4 linked regions of the Canis lupus familiaris genome follow. The main gene of each other region encodes a partner of the protein of the gene in region 2 in a complex. Links are inferred from orthologs where the notes say so. Each region holds a gene or a part of one and is shown on either strand. Other genes may lie near its edges.

Region 1 (4,200 bases), on a different chromosome or scaffold from region 2:
CAAGGGGTGGCTTGCTTTCTATAGGTCTCAGTTTCCCCACCTGGGAATAATGGGAAAATTAAATTAGATCATCTATGGTGGAGTGCTTGGCACAGACGCAGAGCCCAGCAAACAGGAGATGTTGTTGTTAGTGTATTTATCTGCCTCTCTTCCTAGAGGAGGGCATGGCGGGGGTAGGTTCCCCCCTACCTGGCCCTCTATCCCTAGACTTGGAGGACTCGATCCTTGGCCCCTGGGGGAAGTGGCGCTGTTTCTGCGACCTGGGCAAGCAGGAGCGCAGCCGCGAGGTCCTGGGCACGGCGCCGGGTCCGGTGTTCATGGACCGCGAGAATCTGGTGCAGGTGCGGCCCTGCAGGCAACGGGATTGTTCATCCTGCAAACCAACGGATTGCGACTGGAGGCCCTGAACCCGGGTGAGAGACTAGCGCAGAGGAGGCGGGGCCAGGGCAGGTGGTCTAGTCCGGGGTTGGGAGTCCTCAGGGCCTGGGATGAGGCGAGAGAAAAGGCGGGGCGTGGGGGGTGCGGGCAGGAGAGCCTTTAGGGATGAGGCTTAAAGATGGTGGGGAAAGGTGAGCTGAGTCAGGAGCCGTGAGCCCCACTGATACCCGGGGAGAAAGGAAGAAAGCTAGTCATGGGCCGGGAGGGGGGGATCAGAGATGGAGGAACTGTGACCCTGAGGAAGGGACATGAGCCTGATGAGGGTCAAGGACCTATAGGGTGACGATGTGAGCCCCTTTGAGACTCGAGAACTGGGGGACATGAACCCTCAACTGGGGGTAATGGCCCTGCCTTGTGGGCTCAGACTCTCAGCAGAAGCCTATTGAGATCTGGGATCACAGTTGGGAGGGGGTGGGTGGAGGAGGCCTAGCCCCAGTTAGAGAGAGGTTAGGAAGCCGGGAAAGGGAGGGCGAGAGTCTGGGTGAGGTACCGAGAGAGGGAGCTGGACAGCAAATCTGAAGGCCTGAGCCCAGTGGAAGTAGGAATACCTGGTCCGGAGGGCTTAGCCTGTGTGGAATGGCAGGGACAGGGACCAGAGCCAGCATCCAGATCGGGGACCGGGACCCAGTGATGTGGGCACTGGCGGTAGTCTGGCAGTATAGTGATATTTGACCTTCTAGGCCCTGGCTGGGCCTCGGCCTCCAAGGCCTGCGTCAGTTTCCCACTTTTATTTCCCTATCTCCTAGCAGCCCCGACGGGCGGGGCGTCAGGGACTCCGGGGCGGAGCCTGGAAGGCGACCCCGCCCACCCCGTTCCCCCGAAGGAGCTCGGCGGTCGGCCTTGGGAACTACAATTCCCAGGAAGCCGCGCGGCAGGAGTTTCGGTGGCGGCTGCGGAAACGTCAACGGTGGCCGGAGCGTCGGGGGCGTGTCCCGGGCACCGATTGGTCGGGAGCCAGAGCCGCTTCGGGGCCGGCGGAAAACGCGCGCCTAGAACCGCTCCTGTAGACCTGGTTCTTGCGGTCGGTGGCGGCGGCAGAGACGGCATGGATTTCAGCGAGCTGGACAGAGACAACACGGGCCGCTGTCGCCTGAGCTCGCCTGTGCCCGCGGTGTGCCGCCAGGAGCCCTGCGTCCTGGGCGTCGATGAAGCGGGCCGGGGCCCGGTGCTGGGTGCGCCCCCAGGGCTGGGCTGGGGGAGGGGCGTGATTAGGGGAATGCACGTTGCACTGGAACGCAAGCCGGGATTGTACCCTACCCGGGGAGGGGGGTGATGGTGGTAATGGCACCGAAAAAAGCGGTGATGATGGAATAAGGATAGCGGTTTTCACGGGCTCACTGGTTGGACACTCGCTTCTCCAGGCCCCATGGTCTACGCCATCTGTTATTGCCCCCTGTCCCGCCTGGGAGATCTGGAAGCCCTGAAAGTGGCAGGTGAGCCCGAGGTGTGACCCTGGGGAGGTGGTTCCTGGGTGTGTGCAGGAGCGGGTGCAAACTGGAGGGGGAGAACAGCTGGGAGAACCAGTCGCACCCCTTCTCTCCCAACCCTCCTCCCAGACTCAAAGACCCTATCGGAGAGCGAGCGGGACAGGCTCTTTGTGAAAATGGAGAAGGACAGGGACTTTGTGGGCTGGGCATTGGACGTGCTGTCTCCAAACCTCATCTCTACGAGCATGCTTGGGCGGTGAGGGGCCTCTGGGAGGGGCCGGGTGGAGGGGCAGCCAGCGTGGCCTGGAAGGGATCGGTGTAGGGACCGGAACTGACTAGGTTTTGTCTCCCATTGCAGGGTCAAGTACAACCTGAACTCCCTATCCCATGATACAGCCACTGGGCTGGTGCAGTATGCCTTGGACCAGGGTGTGAAAGTTGCACAGGTGAGCTGTTGGATTGTCCACATTTGATCACTTCAGGATAAAATGGGAGTATATAAGTACAGTGGGTGATTCAGAGTCAGACATAACTGAGTTATCTCAGGAATATATATTGCTGTCTTTTGACTTTCTACTATTTTTCCTACCCAAAATGTGTGCCCCATATAGGATCAAGGAGGAGCCCCCAGCTCCACTCTCTTTTAATTTACCTCTGTATCTTTTTTTTTTTTTTTTTTTTTTAGGATTTCATTTATTTATTCATGAGAGACACAGAGAGAGAGAGGGAGAAACATAGGCAGAGGGAGAAGCAGGCTTCCTGTGAGAAGCCTGATGTAGGACTCGATCCCAGGACCCTTGGATCACAACCTGAGCCAAAGGCAGACACTCAACCACTGAGCCACCCAGGTGACCTGATTTATCTCTCTGTATCTTAAAGGCTCGGAATCCAGAACAAATCTATATCTGTTCCCCTGTCTGCAGCCTCTGTCCTAGCCCAGGGTACTCTTCTCTCCTGGATTCCCCCCCATCCTCCTCCCACTTTGAGGCCTGTCCTTTATAGTCTGCTCCTGTGAAGCAGATAGTCACGTTTTGAAACATAGATCTCAACATTTAATTTTTTGATCCCAGTAACAAATCTGGAAAGTTCAGTGTCAAGTGGAAGAGAGTGAGATTGAAATACCAGAAGGAAATAAAAGTTGGCATTGTATCCAGTACTCTGCGGCCAAGAACAGGCCGTTTTGAGAGAATAACAAGGATAAATACGCTTGAGATAGGGAACATAACAAGGGAGACCTTGTTGAGGAGATGGCTGAAGTCCAGGACTGGAATATGGAGCCCACAATGCAGTATTAGGACAGACAGACAAGGGCCCTGCCCTCTAGGGTTTGGTGACCAAGTCAGGAGGCACAGATGGTAGCTGGTAAGCAGATAATAAAGGTGATTTCTGAGGGTAACAGCAATGGAGATCACTGACTTGATCTCTCTATTCCAGCTATGAGGCCTCCCTGTTACTGTCTAGCATACTTGACATGGTCCCACCTCAGGGCCTTTGCACTAGCTGTTCTTTCTGGCTAGAATCCTCTTCACATGGCATCTTCACATGGCTCCTTCTCTTACCTTTTTCAGGCCTTTATTCAAATGTTACCACCTTGAAGTGACCATCCCCGAATCTCTCCTACCACTATATAAAATGATACCCCCCCAGCATGCCTGGCTGGCTCAGTCGTTAGAGCATGGTACTCTTGATCTCAGGGTCAAGAGTTTAAGCACCACATTGGACATAGAGCATACTTAAAAAAATAAGTAGGGCAGCCTGCGTGGCTCAGCGGTTTAGTGCCACCTTTGGCCCAGGTTGTGATCCTGGAGTCCCGGGATCGAGTCCCACATTAGGCTCCCTGCCTGGAGCCTGCTTCTCCCTCTGCCTGTGTCTCTCATGAATAAATAAATAAAATCTTAAAAAAAAAAGTAGATAAGAAATAAAATGATAATCTCTCCCAACTCTCCCCTGTCCTTTATTATTTATCCTGTTTCTTGTCTGTGGCACTTACCAGGGTATCCACTCCATGAAGACAGAGGTTTTTTTGTCTTGCATTTGCTTCTATAATTCCTGGCATCTGCTGTAGCTGTGGTATGCAGTAGGTGCTCAGTAAGTGTGGAATAGCTTCAGCTTGATCAGGGACAGCCTCTTTTGGAGGGGACTTTTCTTTTCCTTTTTTTTAAGTAATCTCTGCACCCAGTGTGGGGCTCAAATTCATGACGTGAAGATCAAGAGTTGCACACTCTGCCGACTGAGCCAGCCAGGTGCCCCTGGAGGGGACTTTTAAACTGAGATTGCCCGGGATGCCTGAGTGGCTTAGCAGTTGAGCATCTGCCTTTGGCTCCAGGTGTGATCC
Region 2 (3,161 bases):
AAATTCAGTTATAAACTGGCAAGTCCACATCTAAAAATCTATTCTAAGGGAGCAATTAAAGATGTGAACAAACATTTACTTATAATCTGATTCTTCAAACAGTGAACATTTGTAAGTAATGTAAATGTCCAAAATAGGGTCATGGTCATTAAATAATCAAATATCCAAATAATTAAAAATGACCAGCATTAAAAAAAAGCGTATTTATGAAGAATACTTTAGTAGCCTGGGAAGATGCTCCCAAAATAAAGTGTCAAGAAAGAAGATGATAAAATTAGTATTACGATTCCTTAAAAAATTATTATTATAAGAACATGTGCCATATATGATCTCTGGGTAGTGTCAAGTTGGGAGATTACCACTTTAATTTTACGCCTTTCCCTATTTTCTACAACAAACATGTATTCATAAAACAGAAAATATTAAACAGAAGATTTACTGAAAACAAATGGCTTTTAGGAGGTAGTAGTCTCCCCGACAGCTGCTGATTGCTGTCAGTGCGCTGAAAACCATACTGCTATAGGCACCGTGTGGCAAAGCGGCATAAAGTAACAGGCACACACTCAAATATTGTCACATGTCAGTTTATTGAGCAAAAACCAGGATGCCAGCTAGAGGATAACTCTATTCACTTGATTACTTTTCATGATGTCAAACAAAACTCTGAAGGCCACAGGCCACAGAGTTACACAATGACTTTCCCACATTTTGTTCAGAAAGACAAAAATCAAATCCCAGGAAATGTCTGACTCTGAAAATTGCCTTGATTTTTTTTTTTTTTTCCTCCAAAAGGCAGTAATTAAGTCAGGAGGTACATTGGTGTGGGGGAAGGACAAAAAAGGAACATGTAAAAGGCAAATAATTTTGCTAGATTTCATTGTCAAAGTTTCAGATCTTTTCAATTTTTTTTTTATTTTTCGTAGCAAAAAAGGAATCAATACTTTTCATTCCACTCTTGTCAACTTTAGCCAAAGCCTTCTGAGCTGCAGTCATTTTGCTATTTTTCTGTTAAGGAAAATAAGAGAAAAATTGTTACAAATGTAACATTTATGAATCGTACATGCAAATCAGACAAGACCATGCATGTCTCAAGGTTCATGTATTTGTTGCTAACGTGTTTCATAAGGGAGCAATGATGATGATGATGATGATGATGATGATGATGATGATTTTTTTTTTTAAGTTCTGATTTCCATTCCGAGTTTAGACCCAAGACATAAAGTCTGGAGCAACAGGCAGGAGACAAACCTCTGCCCTCTGAGGGTGGAACGTTACGACCCGTGGTTGACTTTGGGGGGACGGCTCCGGAGGAAGGGCCTATTAGCCCAGTAGCGCCAACAAAGAGACTGGGAGCGACTGGGGGGGTCACAGCGTGTTGCGGCGTGATGACGGGTGCACAACGGGCGCCGCTGCGTTGCTCTCGGGGGCCCAGGGCAGCCACGGGGGCCTAGGACAGCTGCTGTATCCCAGACAACCCGTACCCGGGAGCATGGGGACCAGCAGGGCGACCGCCCCGGTCCTCTTCCAACAAAGGGAGACTTTTCAAAAGGCTGCCTTGGAGGAGCCCTGCCTTTTAAAGGCCGCTCCCCTGCCGGTCACTGCCTGGCTCCGTCCTGGGACCCACGTGCCAGAGGCTAAAGAGCAGCAGGGCCACACGGGGTGGGACTCGGCAAAGCCGAAGCCAAGCCCTCTGTCCCCCGAGCGCCGTGGGGCGAAGCCTCTGCCGGAGAACCTTCCAAGGGCACGGGGCATGGTCCCTGGCATCTTGCTTCTCATATTCGGCCCCATTTCAGGGGCTTGTTTTTTGCCTGGATGGGACAAAGTGACAGTCTCCTCGAGACGAGTTATCCCCCGAATTCAGCTGACACCCTGGCCCAACCTCTCAGTTCCTGGGACTGTGCCCAGGTAGACGGGACAAAAAGCAGCCGTCACAAGGGTGGGGGCAGAAACAATTCCATGGAGGAACTCAGGAACGGCCCTCTACGGAAGCCGTCCAGAATGCTCCCTATCTTGCCAAGTCTCAACTTGGATTACCCCCTGACGTGGCCTGCCCAGATACGTTACGCAGAGCCCCAAGAGTCAAACCGATGAACGTTAAATGCCAAGGAGCGGGTAACTGCTGTTAAAATTTAGGAGAAGGGGATCCCTGGGTGGCTCAGCCTTTTGGCACCTGCCTTCAGCCCAGGACATGATCCTGGAGACCCAGGATCGAGTCCCAGTCCCACGTCGGGCTCCCTGCATGGAGCCTGCTTCTCCCTCTGCCTGTGTCTCTGCCTCTCTCTTTGTGTCTCTCATGAATAAATGAATAAAATCTTTAAAAAATAATAAAAAAAATAAAATTTAGGAGGAAGTTAATTTATCTTAGGGCAGGCAAGGTCTTTCTAAGCATAAAAATAATGAGAAAATCACAAGGAAAAACATTTCCTACATTTAATCCTCAGAATAACTTACAACTGTTTAAAAAAAAATAGAATAAAAAGGCTAAAAGCCAATTAGGGAATTATTTGTACCCTGTATGTCATGAAGTGTTGTTAAATTCCTAATCTAGAATAGGCTCTTAAAAATCAACAAGAAAAACCCTAGTATTCCAATACGAAAAACAGGCACTGGACATGGACTGACAATTTGCAGAAATGCAAATGGACCACAATCATTTGGAAAAAACAACAACTAACTTTTCTCGTCAGAGAAATACAGCCTAATTAGAGAGTCAAAAATTTCAAGAATAAAGATAATATTCAGTGTTGTCAACAAAGCAAGATGAATGCTCAACAGCAATGATGGTTGGGAATACAAATTTCTACATTTTTGGAAAGCAGTTTATATACATATACACATACATATGTGCATATATATACAGTTTATATAACATGTATACACACACATACATAAACATATATTTACACACATATATAAACATGAGCTCCTTCCACATGATTTACATGTTTTATAGTCATGTATATGATTATATGACAAAATCATATGATTATATATAATAAATATATAAAACCACAATCCTATATATGTGCACACATATATTTATATATTGTCTCAAATCACAATCCTATATATGTACACACACACATATATTTATATATTATCTCAAAAATCATGGAAAGAGCTCATGTTTTCTTTTTTTTTCCTTTTTTTTTTTCCACAGA
Region 3 (4,300 bases), on a different chromosome or scaffold from region 2:
CACATCGGGGTCCCGGTGCATGGAGCCTGCTTCTCCCTCTGCCTGTGTCTCTGCCTCTCTCTCTCTCTCTCTCTCTCTCTCTCTCTGTGACTATCATAAATAAATAAAAATTTAAAAAAAAATAAAAATAAAAAAATAAAATACATAACTATTATATACAACAAAAAAACAACTTTAGAGTTGCACAGGCAGACATTAAAGGAGATAAGAATAAGGGTGGCTCAGTGGTTTAGCGCTGCCTTCAGCCCAGGGCTTGATCCTGGAGACCTGTGATCAAGTCCCAGGTTGGGCTCCCTGCATGGAGCCTGCTTCTCCCTCTGCCTGTGTCTCTGCCTCTCTCTCTCTCTCTCTCATTAATAAATAAATAAATAATCTTTAAAAAAAGAATAAATGGTATTAAAGAAAAAAAAAGAACAAATGGTATTATATATCTTATTCTTGATAGAAAACTACAGCAAGACGCTCTAATCTGTTAGTACCCTCCAGCCAAAGACTACCAGGAAACATCTATAGTTGAACAGACGTGTTTATTACTCTTGTACTGTTGGACATCTCAGTAAGATGGTGTTCAGAAAGGATTTACAGGATTTGGCTTGCGCTAAGTGATTTGGGGGAGGGTTTAAGAAAGCCAGAGTTTTTCTCTGGATTGGATACTGTCAAGAAGGGGAAGTATTTCTAGGATGGGATATGTTAACAGATCTTACCCAGACAAAAGCTAAAGCTGTAATTGGTAAAGTTCACTTATATTTCCCAACATGGTCGATGTTTCATCATTCTTGTGGTTTGGACAATGTTCCTCTCTTTGTTGGTGATCACATGACTATAGAGTGATCTTGTTTTTGTCTTGATCCCTCACATCACGCAGTGACTTTGTCCAATGTTGATACTCTGTGAAATTGTTCATGTTTAACAGAACACCACGGCCAGTACCTGGATGTCTGGAGGTGTGTTTAACTTTCTCAAATCTATAAATTAAATGCAATTTTAAACTTAATTGCCAGTTATGTCTGTTCTTGTTTTACGAAAGAACTTGACAAAACATATTTAATTTGGGTATCTGAACAAATAAACATTAGGAAAGAGTTAAGAAACCAAAAAAGAAATAGTATTGCGTAAACAAAAAAGACGTAAGAAGAAAAGATTGATTAATCTACTACAAAAAAAAATAAGTCAGTTTGGAGAACAAATCACAAACTCGGATAAAATAACTTCAACGCATTTGAGGAAGTGATGTCCCCAGTAAAACAAACAAGCAACTCTCCCTACCAATAACATAAAAAGAGTACTTTTCGGAATAGTTTCGATTTTTTACCATAAGAATGTACTCCTGAAAATCATTTTCAAGAAAAAAAGACTGGGATTTGAACACATCGAGGCAGGGCTCGCAGAGGCTCAGAGGAGCCTCAAGGAAGGACTACGCTTCCCAGGAGGCTCTGAGCTGAGCGTCCCCGGACTCCCGACAGGCTCCGCGCGCTTTACGCGCCAGCTTTGGCCTTGGCCACCGAGCAGCGGAATCGGCGGCGGAGAATGGAGAGTAGCGAGGAGGCAGCAGTCGAGAAGTGCCGCGTCCACTTGCGCCCCGGCACGCTGCGCGACGCCGCTCGCGCCACGCTGCATCTTCTGCCTTGCGAGGTTCTAGTTAACCGGCCCGCCCCCGTGGACCGCTTCTTCACCCCAGCCATTCGACAGGGTCCCGACGGTGAGTGCTCACCGCCGGACTACGACTCCCGGCAACCCCCGCGCCCACGCCACGTTCTCCTCGGCGAGGAGTGGCGCGAGGGCTCCTGGGGATCGTGGTCCAACGGAGGTGGCGGGAGGGCCCCGGGGGGCTTGCCCCGCAAGCCCTGAATCAAGCCCGTACCGAGGTCCCGAGCCTGCCTTCTGCAGGACTCGAAGTGTCGTTTCGGGGCCGCAAACTACGAGGCGAGGAGGTGGTGGTGCCTCCTGGCCTCGTGGGATACGTGATGGCGATGGAGGAGCAGGGAGAGGTGTCGATGGAGAAGGACTTCTCGGAGGGTGACGAGCGAGAGGAGCAGGAGCGGGCAGAACCCCGCGAGGCGCTGGAGCGGGACTTCGTGAGCACGGGGGTGGAGGGGCAGGGCTGGAGAGTGGTGCGGGCGGCAGCGGTGGCCCTCATGCTGAGCCGGGCCCCTTCCTCAGGACCAGTTTATCGGAGCCATCGCCAGTTTCAGCCGCTTCACGCTATGGGGTCTGGAGACCATTCCTGGTCCGGACGCCAAAGTGCGCGGGGCCCTAACCTGGCCCAGTCTGGCCGCAGCGGTGAGTAGGGGGATGGGACCTCACTCTTCAGGCCCCATCCATTCCCTTGTGCCTTCAAGGGTATTCCCTGGACTGTCCAGAATCTTGTCCGAGTGGACTTGGGGCTTCAGGGCCGGGGAGTACAATGGGGTACAAGGAGCCTGGGTCTGACTGGATTAGACTGGTCAGGGGCAGGGGCGCTTCCCTACCTCTGACTGGTCTAGAAGGGGTTGTCATTCTGAGTAGCTGGGTCACTCCCAGAGTATGTGGGCCACCCAGTGTGTGTCAAAAACCCAATAGTAGAGGTGACTCCTGTTGCAGATTCACGCACAGGTGCCTGAAGACTGAGAGCCGGAACTTGAAATTGAAAGCCACTGGTTCCTTCACCCCAATAAACCAGCTCTTCATTTTGGAACCACTGATTCCATCACCCCAATAAACAAGCTCTTCACAGCACCTGCGAGTTTGTGGGCACCTTGGAGTCTTCTAAGCTGGCACTACCCCTTCTCCCACAAGAAACTTTCATGGCTCAGTCTATAGAAATGATTTATTGCCAAGGAGCAGTGAGGGCAAGAGGCCAGAATTTTGCTGCCAGTACCCACCCCTCCTCCCAACTCCTTACAAAAGAAATTTTTACAGCCACTAGCCCTCTGTACAGAGTGCACCCACCCCCCATCTCACTGTACATAGCTGCTTGGCTCCGTCCAGTCCCTGCTTCATAGCAGGCCCAGACCTGCAGCCAGTTGACCTTGGAGTTGACCTGAGCCCTGAGCTCGCCTTGGTGCTGGGCAGCTAGCCCCTACCAGGCCTGTCCTCTCCTTATGAAGCTGTCCTCAGCCCCACCTCCCTTGGTGTGCCTCTTGGGGGCCCTGGTGGGGGTGGGATGTGCTGTCAGCCCCAGTTCTGCTTTGTTGCCACTGCTATAGACAGTGCCTGGTCACCATTTTCCCCTCTTGCTCCAGTCCTTGGGAGTGAAGTGCAAACACTTGGAGTCGATTCGAAGGAGCCGCTTGAGCATAGCTCTTTCATGCCCATCCACGATGTCCTCAGACAGTGTGAGGATATACTGGCCCTGGATGGGAGATAGGACCGGAAGGGTCAGCCCATGTGGGGTGCACACTCTGCAGCCCTACACACACGTCTCCCCCTGCCTGCCTCCCTACCTTGTAGTAGTTGATGAGATTGAGGTACTGTAGAGTAGAAATGACATCTTCCTTCTTGATGCTGGTGATTTCACTGATCTCGCTGTGGGAGGACAAGGATCAGGTCCTCTGGAGGCCTTCCTCTCTGCCCCAAGCCCCCAGGAGCCCCAGGAATGAGGATGGGCCATGCCATGCACCCCCAGGGTCAGAGGTAGGGCCAGGCTCACTTGATGGTGATCTGTGGCCTCTCCCCGCTCTCTGACTTCAGCCCCATCAGGATCTCCAGGATGGTCTGGGACCAGTAGCTTCGGTAGGATAGGAGGCCAAGGTCTGAGAGGGGCTTCTCAGGGGTCCCCGTTTTCCCTTCCACTTTGGAGAGTTCATAGCCTACAGCAAGGCAGCAAGAAGGGGTGGGTAAGCGATCACACCTTCATGCAACTTTCAGAATATGGTTACAGGAGTAAACTGCCTGGTTCCCATCTCACCCTTGCCATGTGGTAGTTCTGTGACCTGACATACGTAGCTAGTCTGCTGTGTCTGTTTCCCCAGAGAGCTAATGAGCATTCACTCTTCATCTCTGTGCTGTGGAGGGTACTGAAAGGAACAGCTATAATCCACCTGGAGAAAAACTCAGGAACCAGGGAAGTGCAGAGAAAATGACAAGAAAGGCAAGTGCCTGATTTTCATCATTCCAGACCATATCTCCTGGGTATGTGAGAAGGGAAGGCAGCCCCCACGTGTGGTCTGGGCCTCAGGATGTCTGGATTTGCAGTCAAGTCAGTCCCCCTAGCTGTGACCTGGGGAGCATTGGCTGCTCCAGGACCAGGCTGGCCTGACTAGGTGTTGATAAGAAGCAAGGAGAGGCACTAATGTACTTCCCAGGTCAGAAGGCGGCCATT
Region 4 (4,001 bases), on a different chromosome or scaffold from region 2:
GTGCCTATCATAAATAAATAAATAAATACATAAATAAAATTAAAAAAAAGAACCTGTTTAAAAAAAAAAAAAGGGGGGGGGGTGGGGGAAAAAAGGTGGGGGGAGGGGACGCCTAGGTGGCTCAGCGGTTTAGCGCCGCCTTCAGCCCAGGGTGTGATCCTGGAGTCCCGGGATCGAGTCCCACGTCGGGCTCCCTGCATGGAGCCTGCTTCTCCCTCTGCCTGTGTCTCTGCCTCTCTCTGTCTCTGTGTGTCTCTCACGAATATCTTAAAAAAAAAAAAAAAAAAATTTACAAATGGGGACACCTGAGTGGCTCAGTGGTTGAACATCTGCCTTTGGCTCAGGGCCTGATCCCGGGGTCCTGGGATTGAGTCCTGCATCAGGCTCTGTGCAGGGAACCTGCTTCTCCCTCTACCTACGTCTCTGCCTCTCTGTATCTCTCATGAGTAAATAAAATATTTAAAATCTTATTTATTTGAGAGAGAAAACATATTGGGGAGGGGCAGAGGGAGAAGGAGAGGTAGAAGCAGACTCCTCCCGGAGCCAGGAGCCAACCTTGGATCTAGATCTCAGGACCCTGGGGTCATGACCTGAGCCAAAGGCAGAGGCTCCACTGACTGAACCACCCACGTGCCCCCTGTAACAAGTTTTTAATATGCAGATCAGAATTTTCACGCAAATAAGCTTAGATTTTTAAAACAAGATTGCTGATATCTGTATTTAGGAAAATATTGTAGATTGCAATCTTTCAGTGGTCAGCTTAGCAACATTTATCAACACATCACTTCTACGATAGCAAAAATAAAATGCACTTTTAAAACAGCTGTATTCCTCGGGCCGCCAGGCGTCTTCCTCCCGGTGGGCTGGATTTGCCTTTCACTTTCACGGCCAAAGCCTTTCTAGTCCTGAAGCGGGAGGTTGAGGAGGCAGCACAAGGCTGTAACTCAAAGAACCCCAACCTGGGTCTGGCCGTCACAAGCCCAGACTTGTTCAGCGCCCGGCGTCGCGAGCGGGGTGGAGAAGGCAGTCCCGCGGGAGGCGGAGGCGCCCCGCTCCTGCCCCGCCCCTGCCCCGCCCCTGCGGCCGACCCTTCAGTGGACGTTCAGGGAGGACGGGCTGGAGCGGAGGCCAAGGACACTATTGGCCCCGGAGTCCGTCCGCCAGGGAGTGGGCGGGGCAACGTGGTGACGCGCCACGCGCGGCGCAGAGGCGGAGCGCGCGCGCCAGCAGACGCGGCGCTATTAAACGGTTGCAGGCGGAGCGGGCGGGCGGTGATCGTCCCGGCTCCCCGGCCCTCGCCGCTGCGTTCGCCAGCTCGCTCGTACCCCGTGACGCCAAGCCGGCTACAACTTCCTCTTCGTCTCCGCCTGCAGCTGTGTCGTTGTGACTCTGCCACCATGTTCGAGGCGCGCCTGGTCCAGGGCTCCATCCTGAAGAAGGTGCTGGAGGCGCTTAAGGATCTCATCAACGAGGCCTGCTGGGACATCAGCTCGAGCGGCGTAAACCTGCAGAGCATGGACTCCTCCCACGTCTCCCTGGTGCAGCTCACTCTGCGCTCCGAGGGCTTCGACACGTACCGCTGCGACCGCAACTTGGCCATGGGTGTGAACCTCACCAGGTGAGCCCCTGGGGTCGCCAAGGGCCGGGCTCTCTCGCACCCCCACCTCCGGCTCTTGGCGGGAGCGCCTGCGAGCTAGGTCCTCATTGGCTGGCGTGGGCGACCCGCGCCTTCTCATTGGCCTGCGGCGCCCAGGGGCGGGATCTAGCGGAGCGCGCGGTTCCGAAAGCCCGCGCTGGCAGCCGCGCGAACCGGCGTTTTCCGCGCCAAAGTCACAAAGCGGGTGGTGGCGGGAAAATGACGGGCTTCTTCGTGGTGCCGGGAAAAGACTTACACAGCACCTTGGCCACTAAGTGCCGGCGGCCTTGGATGAGAACCCTTTGGCTTGACTGCCTTTAACCGCTTTATAATGTGCCCGAGTTACGTCACCCTACCTAGGGACCATCGGTTGATTCTGGTCCTTTATTATTAGGAAGTTGCAGTGAGCACCCTAAGTTCCTGGACTTAAAATTTCTCCAGGGCAGTGGCTTTCAACTCTTTGATCACTACATGTCTAGTACATGAACATGTTTAAAGATTTTATTTATTCGTGAGAGACGCAGGCAGAGGGAGAAGCAGGCTCCCTCAGGCTCCACATAGGGAGCTCTATGTGGGACTCCATCCCAGGACCCCGGGATCACGACGTGAGCCAAAGGCAGGCGCTCAACCACTGAGCCACCCCGCCTTCCAAAAACATGTTCAAATATGAGGCTTATGAGAAATAGTTGACCTCGACTGCATGCAGTGTGTATTAATAAGTATCTTAGCTCATTTTTCTTGACCGTCAGGACCCAATAATTTGCTTCGCGCACCAAAGGGATTTGCAATTTGCAATGCGTGAAATGCTGCTCTTTTATTTGTATCTAGAAGTGAAATTGCTCATGGTAGGCTGTGTGCCTGTTTAAGAATAAATACTGCCAAATTGGGTTACAAAATGGCCGGATTAGTTTACCTCACTCACCAATTCCTCAGACGACCTTGGTAAATAAAGATGGTAACTCCTTGTTTTAATTGGGTCAGAAATCTTAACGATTCTGAGAACGTTGTGGCAATTTTAAATCCTGTGTCTTCCGTGTTCTAGCATGTCCAAAATACTAAAATGTGCTGGCAATGAAGACATCATTACACTAAGGGCTGAAGATAATGCGGACACCTTGGCACTAGTATTTGAAGCTCCAAGTAGGTGATACTCTTCTACTAAATTATATTAGAGGAAATTTAAATGCAGTGTAAAAGATTTCTCTTAGTTGTGAAAAACTTAAGAAAATGTTCCTAATGATTGTAAAGCTTATTAATGGCATAGTTATAAACTTACATACTTTTCTTCAATCTGCTTTCTTTTGGTAGATCAAGAAAAAGTTTCAGACTATGAAATGAAGTTAATGGATTTAGATGTTGAACAACTTGGAATTCCAGTGAGTATTAAGAGTAGACTTTAAAGCAGTGTTAGGGGATCCCTGGGTGGCTCAGCGGTTTGGCACCTGCCTTCCGCCAGGGGCATAATCCTGGAGTCCCAGGATTGAGGCTCCCTGCATGGAGCTTGCTTCTCCCTCTTCTTGTGTCTCTGCCTCTCTCTCTGTCTCTGTGTCTTTCATGAATAAATAAATAAAATCTTAAAAATAAAAATAAAGCTGTGTTAGCAGAAATTCATTCAGGTGAGGTTTATCAACATAAGAAATGTTGAGATGTTTAAAATCCTTACTATCTTATCTTCTTGTTTTGTTTTGGTAAGCAGTTGGGCCTGCTTGCACACGCATCATCATTTGTAGGCCATACCCTAATGTCCTCTTGATTTAGCCCTGGAGGGGGATTTAGGGGGAGGCTCTTTTCTCCTGGATAGTGCATTTATCATTAAAGATTTAAACTTTAATTTTAGTTTTCTTAGTATGATTATTCTTATGACATATTGTTTTAAAAATTTTTTTTTAATTTTTATTTATTTATGATAGTCACAGAGAGAGAGAGAGAGAGAGAGAGAGAGAGGCAGAGACACAGGCAGAGGGAGAAGCAGGCTCCATGCACCGGGAGCCTGATGTGGGATTCGATCCCGGGTCTCCAGGATCGCGCCCTGGGCCAAAGGCAGGCGCCAAACTGCTGCGCCACCCAGGGATCCCCATACTTGTTTTATATCTGCATTTATTTTTTGAGTTAGAGATTATGTTATGGAAATACACAATGAGTGATATTTTAAAGTAATCAGAAAACCTTAAATTCTGAATTCTTGTCTAAATGCTGAGGCTTCAGAAAAATGAGAATGCCAAATTTAGTTTCCAGCAAGTGAACTCTAATTTTTCATTTTAACAGGAACAAGAATATAGCTGTGTGGTAAAGATGCCTTCTGGAGAATTTGCACGTATATGCCGAGATCTGAGTCACATCGGAGATGCTGTTGTAATTTCCTGCG

Evidence for each region.
Region 1: the proteins of RNASEH2B (region 2) and RNASEH2A are in contact, whole or in part, in a crystal structure (PDB 3PUF), measured with the Homo sapiens proteins. The link is inferred for Canis lupus familiaris from reciprocal best matches to the Homo sapiens genes RNASEH2B and RNASEH2A. Residues at the interface, in NP_078846.2 of Homo sapiens: His16, Phe18, Lys39, Asn42, Gly48, Ala49, Ile50, Val63, Lys64, Val65, Phe66, Lys67, His70, Phe74, Val79, His86, Phe87, Val183, Tyr211, Gly214, Leu215, Asp218, Tyr219; in NP_006388.2 of Homo sapiens: Val227, Phe228, Ile253, Trp254, Glu255, Ser284, His285, Tyr287, Phe288, Arg291, Gly292, Leu293, Glu294, Ser295, Ala296, Thr297, Ser298, Leu299.
Region 3: the proteins of RNASEH2B (region 2) and RNASEH2C are in contact, whole or in part, in a crystal structure (PDB 3PUF), measured with the Homo sapiens proteins. The link is inferred for Canis lupus familiaris from reciprocal best matches to the Homo sapiens genes RNASEH2B and RNASEH2C. Residues at the interface, in NP_078846.2 of Homo sapiens: Arg14, Gln15, His16, Val17, Phe18, Leu19, Val20, Ser21, Glu22, Leu24, Leu35, Met36, Phe37, Val38, Lys39, Leu52, Glu62, Lys64, Phe66, Glu68, His70, His71, Ser72, Trp73, Phe74, Ile75, Asn76, Gln77, Ser78, Val79; in NP_115569.2 of Homo sapiens: Ile9, His12, Arg13, Val14, His15, Leu16, Ser18, Ala27, Thr28, Leu29, His30, Leu31, Leu32, Pro33, Cys34, Glu35, Val36, Ala37, Val38, Asp39, Gly40, Pro41, Ala42, Pro43, Val44, Gly45, Phe48, Phe63, Val75, Pro77.
Region 4: the proteins of RNASEH2B (region 2) and PCNA are in contact, whole or in part, in a crystal structure (PDB 3P87), measured with the Homo sapiens proteins. The link is inferred for Canis lupus familiaris from reciprocal best matches to the Homo sapiens genes RNASEH2B and PCNA. Residues at the interface, in NP_078846.2 of Homo sapiens: Asp290, Ser292, Gly293, Met294, Lys295, Ser296, Ile297, Asp298, Phe300, Phe301; in NP_002583.1 of Homo sapiens: Met40, His44, Val45, Ser46, Leu47, Glu124, Leu126, Gly127, Ile128, Pro129, Phe207, Ala208, Asp232, Val233, Pro234, Tyr250, Leu251, Ala252, Pro253, Lys254, Ile255, Glu256.

What each region holds. Positions count from the first base shown.
Region 1 is NC_049241.1:49,746,507-49,750,706, reverse strand, and holds the start of RNASEH2A (ribonuclease H2 subunit A), read left to right. Parts: upstream 1-1,335; 5' UTR 1,336-1,483; coding exon 1,484-1,610; intron 1,611-1,799; coding exon 1,800-1,871; intron 1,872-1,994; coding exon 1,995-2,121; intron 2,122-2,223; coding exon 2,224-2,311; intron 2,312-4,200. Other genes in the region: THSD8 (thrombospondin type-1 domain-containing protein 8), read left to right, coding at 208-407. UniProt on the Homo sapiens protein: Catalytic subunit of RNase HII, an endonuclease that specifically degrades the RNA of RNA:DNA hybrids. Participates in DNA replication, possibly by mediating the removal of lagging-strand Okazaki fragment RNA primers during DNA replication.
Region 2 is NC_049243.1:922,274-925,434, forward strand, and holds the end of RNASEH2B (ribonuclease H2 subunit B), read right to left. Parts: intron 1,006-3,161; coding exon 889-1,005; 3' UTR 569-888; downstream 1-568. UniProt on the Homo sapiens protein: Non catalytic subunit of RNase H2, an endonuclease that specifically degrades the RNA of RNA:DNA hybrids. Participates in DNA replication, possibly by mediating the removal of lagging-strand Okazaki fragment RNA primers during DNA replication.
Region 3 is NC_049239.1:51,998,551-52,002,850, forward strand, and holds the start of RNASEH2C (ribonuclease H2 subunit C), read left to right. Parts: upstream 1-1,453; 5' UTR 1,454-1,527; coding exon 1,528-1,699; intron 1,700-1,887; coding exon 1,888-2,075; intron 2,076-2,160; coding exon 2,161-2,280; intron 2,281-2,580; coding exon of another isoform or gene 2,581-2,607; exon of another isoform or gene 2,608-2,715; intron 2,716-2,788; exon of another isoform or gene 2,789-3,196; coding exon of another isoform or gene 3,197-3,331; intron 3,332-3,422; coding exon of another isoform or gene 3,423-3,504; intron 3,505-3,628; coding exon of another isoform or gene 3,629-3,788; intron 3,789-3,950; coding exon 3,951-4,061; 3' UTR 4,062-4,069; exon of another isoform or gene 4,070-4,300. Other genes in the region: histone acetyltransferase KAT5, read right to left, coding at 3,197-3,331, 3,423-3,504, 3,629-3,788.
Region 4 is NC_049245.1:16,928,695-16,932,695, forward strand, and holds the start of PCNA (proliferating cell nuclear antigen), read left to right. Parts: upstream 1-1,201; 5' UTR 1,202-1,397; coding exon 1,398-1,618; intron 1,619-2,678; coding exon 2,679-2,776; intron 2,777-2,944; coding exon 2,945-3,012; intron 3,013-3,901; coding exon 3,902-4,001. UniProt on the Homo sapiens protein: Auxiliary protein of DNA polymerase delta and epsilon, is involved in the control of eukaryotic DNA replication by increasing the polymerase's processibility during elongation of the leading strand.